Arabidopsis thaliana: one gene and its partner. The protein of the gene in region 1 interacts with the protein of each later gene in a pairwise test. Each region holds a gene or a part of one and is shown on either strand. Other genes may lie near its edges. The genes, in order: RABA4C and GSL05.

Region 1 (3,831 bases):
GAAATCCGAGAAACAACAATCAAAATACAATTATACAATATTAAACATTTAACAAAATAAACAAATACAACTTAAAACTTTAAAATTTGAGTTATAAAATTTCTTCTCGCGGTAAATTATACATTAAATCAAACAATAGCATAAATTTATTAAATTATCCTAAAAAATATTCAATTATTTTTTATTTAATAAAAATATAGACCCGCAGTATACCGCGGGTTAATATCTAGTAGATAAACTATTTATTTTTCACTATCATTATTAAACTTTTTGTCATAAGTTTGGTAAACCGTAAAGGCGTAAACTAGGTTTTATTTTAACTAGGTGAACATACGTGCTACATGGGAATTGTTGTTTTATATATATATATATATATTCAAAATCATAATCTTTTTTACTATCATAAATACATACACAACATAGTATATATTGACAATGATATGTAGTTATGTTTACTTACATGTGGTTTGTAACTTGAGTATTTGACTAACTTGAATCTAAACAAACAATTCCTTATTCAACTTACTCTCTCATGATCTAATACTCCAGCCACGCACATCATGATAGACTCATGATTAAATACTAAATTGACATAATTTAAACAAAATATTTGTAATAACTAATTATTTGTTTCAAGTTTTTTGACAATCTGACATTCTTTGACTTCAATTGTCATAAATGGAAATAAGTTGTCTGTGTATCATGAATAAACACAAACTCAATTTAGTATGCAGTGTTCAACTCATCAACTCTATCATCTGTTCTTACATACAAAGTAGACACATTATTTATGCAGTCAAAGAGAAAGAGAAATATGATCACAAGAAATGGTAGTAACAAAAAAAAAAAGAGAAAAGATCATGAAAAAAAGTCTATGATGTTCCACAACAACCTTTTCCTTTAGATTCAGTCTCTTCTCCAGCAACAACAATCTTAGTTCCTTGCAAAAGAGAAGAGTCTCCTCCAGATTCTCCTTCCTCATTAGCAACAAGATTCTTTTTACTCACAATTCGATATATTTCCGTCAAAACCGTGAGGAACGAAGGCTCAACATTGTTTGAATCCAAGGCTGATGTCTCCATGAAAAACAGATTTTCTCTTTGAGCAAATTCTTTAGCATCCTCGGTTGGTACAGCTCGAAGTGTCCCGAGATCAGTTTTGTTTCCTATTAGCATAATCACAATGTTTTTGTCAGCATGTCCTCTCAATTCTTCTAACCATCTCGCTACATGATCAAACGACTGTCGTTTTGTTATATCGTAAACTAACATTGCCCCTACTGCTCCTCTGTAGTATGCACTCGTCACCGCTCGATACCTAAACAAAATCTCCACAATCAGAAATATTGATCTCATGGTACGAAGAGTTCTTACTATGAACCTATTCGTTTGACAATCGTTGGCGACTACGACATGTTATTATGTTCACTGAATAAATAAGCCACTACAAATTTTGGTCTATATACGACAAAGTTTTGGTCAAAGTCCTTAGCGACTGCCAAGCGAAATTCGAAGCAACCAAAATTTTCAACTTCTAAGAACTAAAACAAGGATCTACGATGGTAAATTATAGATAGGAAAATTTACCGTTCTTGACCAGCAGTGTCCCATATCTGAGCTTTGATAGTTTTACGATCGATTTCAAGTGTTCTTGTCTGAAACTCGACACCGATCGTTGCTTTAGATTCGATACTGAACTCGTTTCTTGAAAACCTAGCGAGAAGCTGAGATTTACCAACAGCAGAGTCGCCGATCAAGACTACCTTGAACACATAATCTATCTTCTGATTGAAATTGCTCTGAAATTTTGACATCGTTCACACCAAAATCACAAGCTTATAGATTTTAGAGGCGATAGAAATGACTTAGTTGTAATATAAGATCTCTGATGTAATAAGAAGAGGAGAGATCTAAAAGATGAAAGTGGGTTGCGACTTGTGAAGCATCGGGAGACGTGAAGGGAAGAAACGAGGAGGGAACACCAACGAAAGTGGGTCCCGCCTTTTGTTTCCTTTTTCTTTTCATTCCTTTTTGACGTCATTCTTTTTTTTTTTTTTGCAAATCTCAGCGACCACAAAAAAACACACTTAAAATCCAATTTCACCCTCTCTCGTCTACCTCCGGTCGTCTCGCCGTTCTCCTCCTCCTCCACTATAGCTGCCTGTATTCGTCTTCTCTATCACCGTAAGTTATCTTTCGATGCTTTCTAAGCTATTCCTCTTCTTCTTTAGATATTCTTCAACATCGTCGCTTAGACCCAGCCGGTACAACATTGTGCTAAAATTATGCTTAATTCGGTTCAGTGATTTCTCTCCTGTGACAGGATTTTTCCTAATCCGTTTTACTTATTCTTTGGTCTTATTAAATAAAATTCGAAAACTTTGATTAGGTCTGGAATTGATGTTTTTTAAGTTTGACATTTAACTTGTTTGAACAATGTTTTGTATCTTCTGCAGTCAAGTTCCGCTTTATGATTAGTTTGAGTTAAGATAAACCTGTTGAAATGTTATCTTGTTTTGATACAAAAGGTCTTTGATTTGAATCAATCCATAAGAACGAGCTTGAGACTCAGTTATGTGGCATGTTAAAGTTCATATATGATTGAGACTGAGTGATGGATTATATGCAATTGTTTTTCTACTGTTTCATACCATTATGGTACCAAAAGTACTTAAATTCAATTGTGTCGTGAAGCTAATGTTTACTACATTCTTTGTGTAGCTCGTTATCTGGATCTGAAATATTAGGTGATACGAAGCCATGACAGTTTCAGAAGCTTATAGTCCACCTCTGTTCAGGTATTTGCTTAAGGGTTCTGCTTTTCTATTTTTTGATAATTATGCTCATTGACAGCGAATGATCTTAAGCTCCCTGTCGTTTTTTAAAATTCGTATTCAGTATAGCCCCGATGATGGGATGGACAGACAATCATTACAGAACTCTAGCGCGTCTTATAACAAAACACGCATGGCTCTACACTGAAATGTTAGCTGCTGAAACCATTGTCTATCAAGAAGATAACCTGGTACTTAAATGGATAAGGGTTTCATTTTCTTCTTTTTTTGCTTAACCCTGCAGATACATTTTGAATTTATGACGAATGGATGCATGTGTTTACTCTTGTAATGCTCAGGACAGCTTTTTGGCATTCTCTCCAGACCAACATCCCATCGTTCTTCAAATTGGTGGAAGAAACTTGGAAAATTTGGCTAAAGCAACCAGACTTGCTAATGCTTACGCCTATGATGAAATTAATTTTAAGTAGGTTTCCTTTCCGTTGAGTTATCATAACAAAATTGGTACCATTTCCATCCCAGTAAGCTTTCGTATATTGACACGCCGGTTTGTTTTGTAGCTGTGGATGTCCTAGCCCAAAAGTAAGTGGACGAGGTTGTTTTGGTGCTCTTCTTATGCTTGACCCGAAGTTTGTTGGTGAGGCTATGTCTGTCATTGCAGCCAATACCAATGCAGCTGTCACTGTCAAATGTCGAATAGGTGTTGATGATCATGATTCATATAATGAGCTTTGTAAGTTTGTCCTTCCACCTATCTTTCGAGTTATATCACATGCCTCGTGTTTTTATTAAACAACGGCAAGTAACACCTTTTGCGGAGTTCATTATTACATACCTTTTCCATTCTTTTTTTTTTCTTTTCAGGTGATTTCATTCATATAGTTTCTTCATTATCTCCTACTAAGCATTTCATCATACATTCGCGGAAGGCATTACTGTCTGGACTTAGCCCGTCAGATAACCGTCGAATTCCGCCCTTAAAGTGTGTGCAGAAAGGCTTCCATTACTCTTATGGTCTTCTACTTGGAAGATATATT
Region 2 (8,036 bases), on another chromosome or scaffold:
TCCAAAGTTTTGCGATCAGATCACTGGAGCTTTAATTGCCGGTTTCGTTGCACTCGTCCTCTATGTACTCTTACTCTTATATTCTCTCCACGCCGTCGTCGACCCTTTTCTCCTTCAAAAATCTTGAATCTACCTTTTTTTTTTTGAGTATCGATCTAATTTTATGTCTCTCATACATATATAGATAGTAGACACATAAACATAAATTTGCTCGATGTCGATTTGAGACGTAGTTCGTGTGTTGTGCTTGTATAATTTCCACTGAAAAGAACGTTTTCTAAAAGTTCATGACCATAACACGTAAAGAGGCGAATGAAGGTAATATTAATGTGGGACATAGTGTTTTGCGTGATCCAAATTATTTTAGTATCGCAAACCGGCCTGTCTTAAATGGACATTTGTAGTAACAAAACCGACCATCAGCAAATTAACGTTAACGTTGCTCTAATCGTGTGTATTTTTCTAATGCTTGGTGAAGCACATGCGACCATTTGTTGTGTCAGAACAAAAGGAAGATTCCACATTTAGAATTTAGATTATAATCCCACATGCCTATTATTTAAACATATGTATACTGTAATAAATTAGTCCCAGAAGAGCATTTCATCATACTGTATAATTAATCAAATTTAAAAAACATTTGTGTTGAAGAGAAGATGACTAGATTCACTTGATTTTTTTTAATACTGATTGGTCGTTTGACCAGTCAGGATCCAGACTGAAATATTCTCAAAAGGTATGAACTATTTTAATGAAATATTTGAGCTGAGAATTTGCTTATGGGACATTCTATCCTTCTAAAGAAATCATTAGAAAATGGAGAAAAAGTTACTAGAAAAAGAGAGGGAAATGGGGCGAGAGTATGAAGAAAGGGTCCCATGTGAATCTAATAATTGAAAAGCAAATATGAGATTTATTTTAGGGTTCTTGTTTTAGCGTCCAAAGCGGTCGCAGTTGCCGTTCAGCGACTTTTCTCTGTTTATGAAATAAAAACGCTCCACTTGTTCTTTTCTTCTTTCAACCCACTTTGTTATAACTATTAACAAATATTGCTTGGTCCAAATTTTATTATACTGAATTATTTTAGTTTTTTTGTATCATCATCCTCAATGTTAGTTTTGAAATCCTAGGTCAGTAAGTCAATAACGAAAATGACAAGTTTAATTTTGTAATTGGAACTTACATGTCACGGTCTTTGTTTACGATCATTGCCACGAATTGTTTAGATACGGGCTTTTTTTTTCTTTCCGTGTTGATGATTATCGTTTCTTCTTACATATCTTGATCAATCACTAACATTTACATAACCTACAATTTTGTAATATAATTGCAATACTCGAGATCTTCAAATGGTGATACTGTTAATAAAATTACGAACTTTTAATCATCATCAAAATCTATAGAAAAAGATACATAGGACCAAAACAAGCCTAAAACAAAGAGTTATAATTTACAAATAAATGCATGTATTTTGTTACTTTTGTTAAGGATTTTCATATCAATGCATGCATAATGCATTCTCTTTTTATTTTATTTATAATGCATTCTTTTATAATATTCGGATCCAAAATTATGAATTAATTCCAGATTGCCATAAATGTCTTTCTTTGTTTATGCTGACTTTTTTCTTTTCTTAACTTATATAGTAAGTAAACCAGAAAGGTGGAAGATACAAAGCAATTTCATTGCATTAATAAACTTCAAATGTATTATCCAATAATCAAAATTTATCTAGTAATTCACAAAAAAAAAAAAATCTGTCTATCATTCAAAATTTCACCAATTTGGATAAATATCTAGAAAATTTTAAAATACAATTCAATAACACTATTAACATATCAATCAATATATAACATTGCAAAAGTTTACTTGATCATTAGTATATTCATTTTAAGGTTAAAAGATCTTTAAGAAAAGGAAATTCAAATTATATTGTTGGAAAAAAATACAAATCAAAGACAGCAAAAAAAGTAACAAAAAAAAAAGGTAGAAGAAACTGAAACGCGGAAAGGAGGCAAAATCTTCTCGTCGTCGTTGTCGCCGTCTTCAGAGCTACAAACGAAAAAACTCGCTTCCGTTTCGATTTCTCCATTGTTATTGTTTCTTCAGTGAAGCTTTTTTCTTCGAGAAATTTCTAAGATCTACCACATGCTACTATGAGCCTCCGCCACCGCACCGTCCCGCCGCAAACCGGACGGCCGTTGGCGGCGGAAGCTGTCGGAATCGAAGAGGAGCCGTACAATATCATTCCCGTTAACAATCTCCTCGCCGACCATCCTTCACTCCGTTTTCCCGAGGTTCGTGCCGCCGCTGCTGCTCTTAAAACCGTTGGAGACCTTCGTCGTCCGCCGTATGTTCAATGGCGTTCTCACTACGATCTCCTCGACTGGCTCGCCTTGTTCTTCGGTTTCCAGAAAGATAACGTTCGTAACCAGCGTGAGCATATGGTGCTTCATCTCGCAAATGCTCAGATGCGTCTCTCTCCGCCGCCGGATAATATTGATTCTCTCGATTCCGCGGTTGTTCGTCGGTTTCGTCGGAAACTTCTCGCTAACTACTCTAGCTGGTGTTCGTATTTGGGGAAAAAATCAAATATCTGGATCTCAGATCGGAACCCTGATTCGAGACGAGAGCTTCTCTATGTTGGACTCTATCTTCTCATTTGGGGAGAGGCTGCGAATCTTCGGTTCATGCCTGAATGTATCTGTTACATCTTCCATAACATGGCCTCTGAGCTCAACAAAATCTTAGAGGATTGCCTCGATGAGAACACCGGCCAACCTTACTTGCCTTCTCTCTCAGGCGAAAACGCTTTCTTAACCGGCGTCGTTAAACCTATTTACGATACTATCCAAGCTGAGATTGATGAGAGCAAGAACGGTACAGTTGCGCATTGTAAGTGGAGGAACTACGACGATATCAATGAGTACTTCTGGACTGATCGGTGTTTCAGCAAATTGAAATGGCCGCTTGATTTGGGAAGCAATTTCTTTAAGAGTAGAGGCAAAAGTGTAGGGAAAACTGGTTTCGTGGAGCGCAGGACGTTCTTCTACCTTTACAGGAGTTTTGATCGACTTTGGGTGATGCTAGCTTTGTTCCTTCAAGCCGCCATTATAGTAGCTTGGGAGGAAAAGCCAGATACCTCGTCGGTAACAAGGCAGCTGTGGAATGCTCTGAAGGCAAGAGATGTTCAGGTGAGACTATTGACCGTGTTCTTGACATGGAGTGGTATGCGACTCTTGCAGGCTGTGCTGGACGCGGCTTCACAATATCCCCTCGTTTCCAGAGAGACCAAAAGGCATTTTTTCAGAATGCTGATGAAGGTTATAGCTGCCGCAGTTTGGATTGTAGCTTTCACTGTCCTCTACACTAACATCTGGAAGCAGAAGAGGCAAGACAGGCAGTGGTCCAATGCCGCGACGACTAAGATATACCAATTCCTTTACGCTGTGGGGGCCTTCTTGGTGCCCGAAATCCTGGCTTTGGCTTTGTTTATTATCCCATGGATGAGAAACTTCCTGGAAGAGACCAATTGGAAAATATTCTTTGCTCTAACTTGGTGGTTTCAAGGCAAAAGCTTTGTGGGTCGAGGTTTGAGAGAGGGTTTAGTGGACAACATCAAGTACTCGACTTTCTGGATCTTTGTCCTAGCTACAAAGTTTACATTTAGTTACTTCCTGCAGGTTAAGCCAATGATTAAACCCTCAAAGCTGCTATGGAACTTAAAGGATGTCGATTATGAGTGGCATCAGTTTTATGGAGACAGCAATAGGTTTTCTGTCGCATTGTTATGGTTGCCAGTTGTGTTGATATATCTGATGGATATCCAAATTTGGTACGCAATCTATTCTTCGATTGTTGGTGCTGTTGTTGGGCTGTTTGATCATCTGGGGGAGATCAGGGACATGGGACAGCTGAGGCTAAGGTTTCAATTCTTTGCTAGTGCTATTCAATTCAACCTAATGCCTGAGGAACAACTCCTGAATGCTAGAGGCTTTGGTAACAAGTTCAAGGACGGCATTCATAGGTAGTCCGTGGAAGCATGCTACTAATATTCCTAAATAATTTTCTGTACAACGCTTGACTTGACTGTACAAGCTGTGAAATTTTACTTTTGTTAACGCAGATGCTGCATATAATTAAATTTTTCAATATTGTAATAACTTGAGGTTGTGTACTGTATGCAGATTGAAGCTAAGGTATGGATTTGGGAGGCCGTTTAAGAAACTTGAGTCGAATCAGGTCGAGGCCAACAAGTTTGCGTTGATCTGGAACGAAATCATCTTAGCTTTCAGAGAAGAGGATATAGTTTCTGATCGTGAAGTAGAGCTACTGGAGCTGCCAAAGAATTCCTGGGATGTGACGGTTATTCGCTGGCCGTGTTTCTTGTTGTGCAATGAGCTTTTGCTTGCACTGAGCCAGGCCAGAGAGCTGATAGACGCACCTGATAAATGGCTGTGGCACAAAATATGCAAGAATGAATACAGGCGTTGTGCTGTAGTTGAGGCATATGACAGCATCAAACATCTATTGCTCTCAATCATCAAAGTTGACACTGAAGAACATTCGATAATTACGGTCTTCTTTCAGATAATTAATCAGTCCATTCAGTCAGAGCAGTTCACCAAGACCTTTAGAGTGGACCTGCTGCCAAAAATTTATGAAACACTGCAGAAATTGGTTGGGCTGGTAAATGATGAGGAAACAGATAGTGGGCGGGTGGTGAATGTTCTGCAGTCTCTTTATGAGATTGCAACTCGACAGTTCTTTATAGAGAAGAAGACAACTGAACAGCTATCTAATGAAGGTTTAACTCCTCGAGACCCAGCCTCAAAGTTGCTGTTTCAAAATGCTATTAGGCTTCCTGATGCAAGCAATGAAGACTTCTACCGGCAGGTTAGGCGTTTACACACGATTCTCACCTCTAGGGACTCTATGCACAGCGTCCCTGTGAATCTAGAGGCGAGACGGCGGATTGCTTTCTTCAGTAATTCGCTTTTCATGAACATGCCTCATGCCCCTCAGGTTGAGAAAATGATGGCGTTCAGTGTTCTGACTCCATATTACAGTGAGGAAGTTGTATACAGCAAAGAACAGCTCCGAAATGAGACTGAGGATGGGATTTCCACCCTATACTACCTGCAGACAATTTATGCTGATGAATGGAAAAATTTCAAGGAACGGATGCATAGGGAAGGAATCAAGACAGATAGTGAGTTGTGGACAACCAAGCTGAGAGACCTCAGGCTTTGGGCTTCCTACAGAGGTCAGACATTGGCACGTACAGTTCGTGGGATGATGTACTACTACCGGGCTCTTAAGATGCTCGCTTTTCTTGACTCTGCGTCTGAAATGGACATTCGGGAGGGTGCTCAGGAGCTTGGTTCAGTGAGGAATTTGCAGGGAGAACTGGGTGGTCAATCTGATGGGTTTGTCTCTGAAAACGACCGATCTTCCTTAAGCAGAGCAAGTAGTTCCGTGAGTACGCTGTATAAAGGCCATGAGTATGGGACTGCATTGATGAAATTCACATATGTTGTGGCGTGTCAGATCTACGGGTCTCAAAAAGCAAAGAAAGAGCCTCAGGCAGAGGAAATTCTGTATCTGATGAAGCAGAACGAAGCTCTCCGTATTGCATATGTGGATGAGGTGCCTGCGGGAAGAGGAGAGACTGATTATTACTCCGTTCTGGTGAAATACGATCACCAGTTGGAGAAGGAAGTGGAAATATTCCGTGTGAAGCTACCTGGTCCAGTGAAGCTGGGCGAGGGAAAGCCAGAGAACCAGAATCATGCAATGATCTTTACCCGTGGTGATGCTGTTCAGACCATTGATATGAACCAAGACAGTTATTTTGAGGAAGCTCTCAAGATGAGAAATTTGCTCCAGGAGTACAACCATTATCATGGTATCAGAAAACCAACTATTCTTGGTGTCAGGGAGCATATCTTCACGGGATCAGTCTCGTCACTGGCGTGGTTCATGTCTGCTCAGGAGACAAGTTTTGTCACTCTTGGTCAGCGTGTTCTTGCAAACCCACTGAAGGTCAGAATGCATTATGGCCACCCTGATGTATTTGACAGATTCTGGTTCTTGAGTCGAGGCGGCATCAGTAAGGCTTCCAGAGTTATAAATATCAGTGAGGACATCTTTGCCGGGTTTAACTGCACGTTAAGGGGGGGAAACGTCACCCACCACGAGTACATTCAGGTTGGGAAGGGTCCACAATTTGGATTATTTCTAACTAACTATACTGCTACAACGTTTTTTTAACGTTTTTAACGTTTATTAATTATGCAATCTACTTTTGTTATAATTATGTAATTTAACGTTTTTTAATCTTCTAAATTCAAAAAATTTGAGTAACCTTTGTCTTTATGCATTTTTCAGGTCGGGAAGGGACGGGATGTTGGATTGAATCAGATATCAATGTTTGAGGCTAAGGTAGCCAGTGGGAACGGAGAGCAGGTTCTCAGCCGAGATGTGTACCGGCTCGGGCACAGGCTTGATTTCTTCAGAATGTTATCATTTTTCTACACAACTGTAGGGTTTTTCTTCAACACAATGATGGTCATTCTTACTGTTTACGCTTTCCTCTGGGGACGGGTTTATCTGGCTCTCAGCGGGGTTGAGAAGTCCGCTCTAGCAGACAGTACGGACACCAACGCCGCGCTTGGGGTGATCCTGAACCAGCAGTTCATCATTCAGCTCGGTCTGTTCACTGCCCTGCCAATGATTGTTGAATGGTCTCTCGAGGAGGGTTTCCTTCTAGCGATATGGAATTTCATTCGAATGCAGATTCAGCTTTCAGCTGTCTTCTACACATTCTCAATGGGGACCAGAGCTCACTATTTCGGTCGAACTATTCTCCATGGTGGGGCCAAGTATAGAGCCACTGGACGTGGATTTGTTGTCGAGCACAAGGGATTCACTGAGAACTACCGACTGTATGCACGCAGTCACTTTGTGAAGGCCATCGAGCTTGGGCTGATCCTCATAGTCTACGCTTCGCACAGTCCGATTGCCAAAGACTCGTTGATTTACATAGCCATGACTATCACCAGCTGGTTTCTTGTGATTTCATGGATAATGGCCCCATTTGTGTTTAACCCATCAGGATTCGACTGGCTTAAGACAGTCTATGACTTTGAAGACTTCATGAACTGGATCTGGTACCAAGGCAGAATCTCAACGAAATCTGAACAAAGCTGGGAAAAATGGTGGTACGAGGAACAGGACCACCTGAGAAACACCGGGAAGGCAGGATTATTTGTGGAGATCATCTTGGTCCTCCGGTTTTTCTTCTTCCAGTATGGGATTGTATACCAGCTTAAAATTGCAAACGGATCCACCAGCCTTTTTGTCTACTTGTTCTCATGGATATACATCTTTGCTATATTTGTGCTCTTCCTAGTCATCCAATACGCCCGTGACAAGTACTCGGCAAAAGCTCACATACGGTACAGGCTTGTCCAATTCCTCCTGATCGTGCTTGCTATACTGGTGATTGTTGCTTTGCTCGAGTTCACGCATTTCAGCTTCATCGATATCTTCACAAGCCTTCTTGCATTCATCCCAACTGGCTGGGGAATTCTGCTGATCGCACAGACTCAAAGGAAGTGGCTGAAGAATTACACTATTTTCTGGAATGCTGTTGTCTCTGTTGCTCGCATGTATGACATATTGTTTGGGATACTCATAATGGTTCCAGTAGCGTTCTTGTCATGGATGCCTGGATTCCAGTCAATGCAAACGAGGATATTATTCAATGAAGCTTTTAGCAGAGGACTTCGCATCATGCAGATTGTCACTGGGAAGAAATCAAAAGGCGATGTCTAAGTTTAAAAAACGGTAAAGCTCCTTGTTCTCAACACCTTATGTTATGATCGTTTAAATCCTGGATTTCACACCAATGCGGGCTTTAAATTTGTGTAGGTCTTAAGAAGTAAATGGTAGTTCAAATCCTATTGGTATGTGGCGAAGGAATCAGTTGGAGGTTAGTTTTCCCGAAACAACCGAATTCGAAGTTTTGTTTC

The links.
Region 2: the proteins of RABA4C (region 1) and GSL05 interact in a two-hybrid assay, tested with the Arabidopsis thaliana proteins (one study listed by BioGRID).

The regions. Positions count from the first base shown.
Region 1 is NC_003076.8:19,420,661-19,424,491, forward strand, and holds RABA4C (RAB GTPase homolog A4C), read right to left. Parts: upstream 1,874-3,831; 5' UTR 1,814-1,873; coding exon 1,587-1,813; exon of another isoform or gene 1,543-1,586; intron 1,318-1,542; coding exon 873-1,317; 3' UTR 680-872; downstream 1-679. Other genes in the region: AT5G47970 (Aldolase-type TIM barrel family protein), read left to right, coding at 2,760-2,797, 2,898-3,024, 3,133-3,260, 3,355-3,527, 3,659-3,776. UniProt on the Arabidopsis thaliana protein: Intracellular vesicle trafficking and protein transport.
Region 2 is NC_003075.7:1,571,357-1,579,392, forward strand, and holds the start of GSL05 (glucan synthase-like 5), read left to right. Parts: upstream 1-1,909; 5' UTR 1,910-2,156; coding exon 2,157-4,027; intron 4,028-4,187; coding exon 4,188-6,210; intron 6,211-6,390; coding exon 6,391-7,839; 3' UTR 7,840-7,851; intron 7,852-7,935; 3' UTR 7,936-7,996; intron 7,997-8,036. Other genes in the region: AT4G03540 (Uncharacterized protein family (UPF0497)), read left to right, coding at 1-127. UniProt on the Arabidopsis thaliana protein: Involved in sporophytic and gametophytic development. Required for normal leaf development.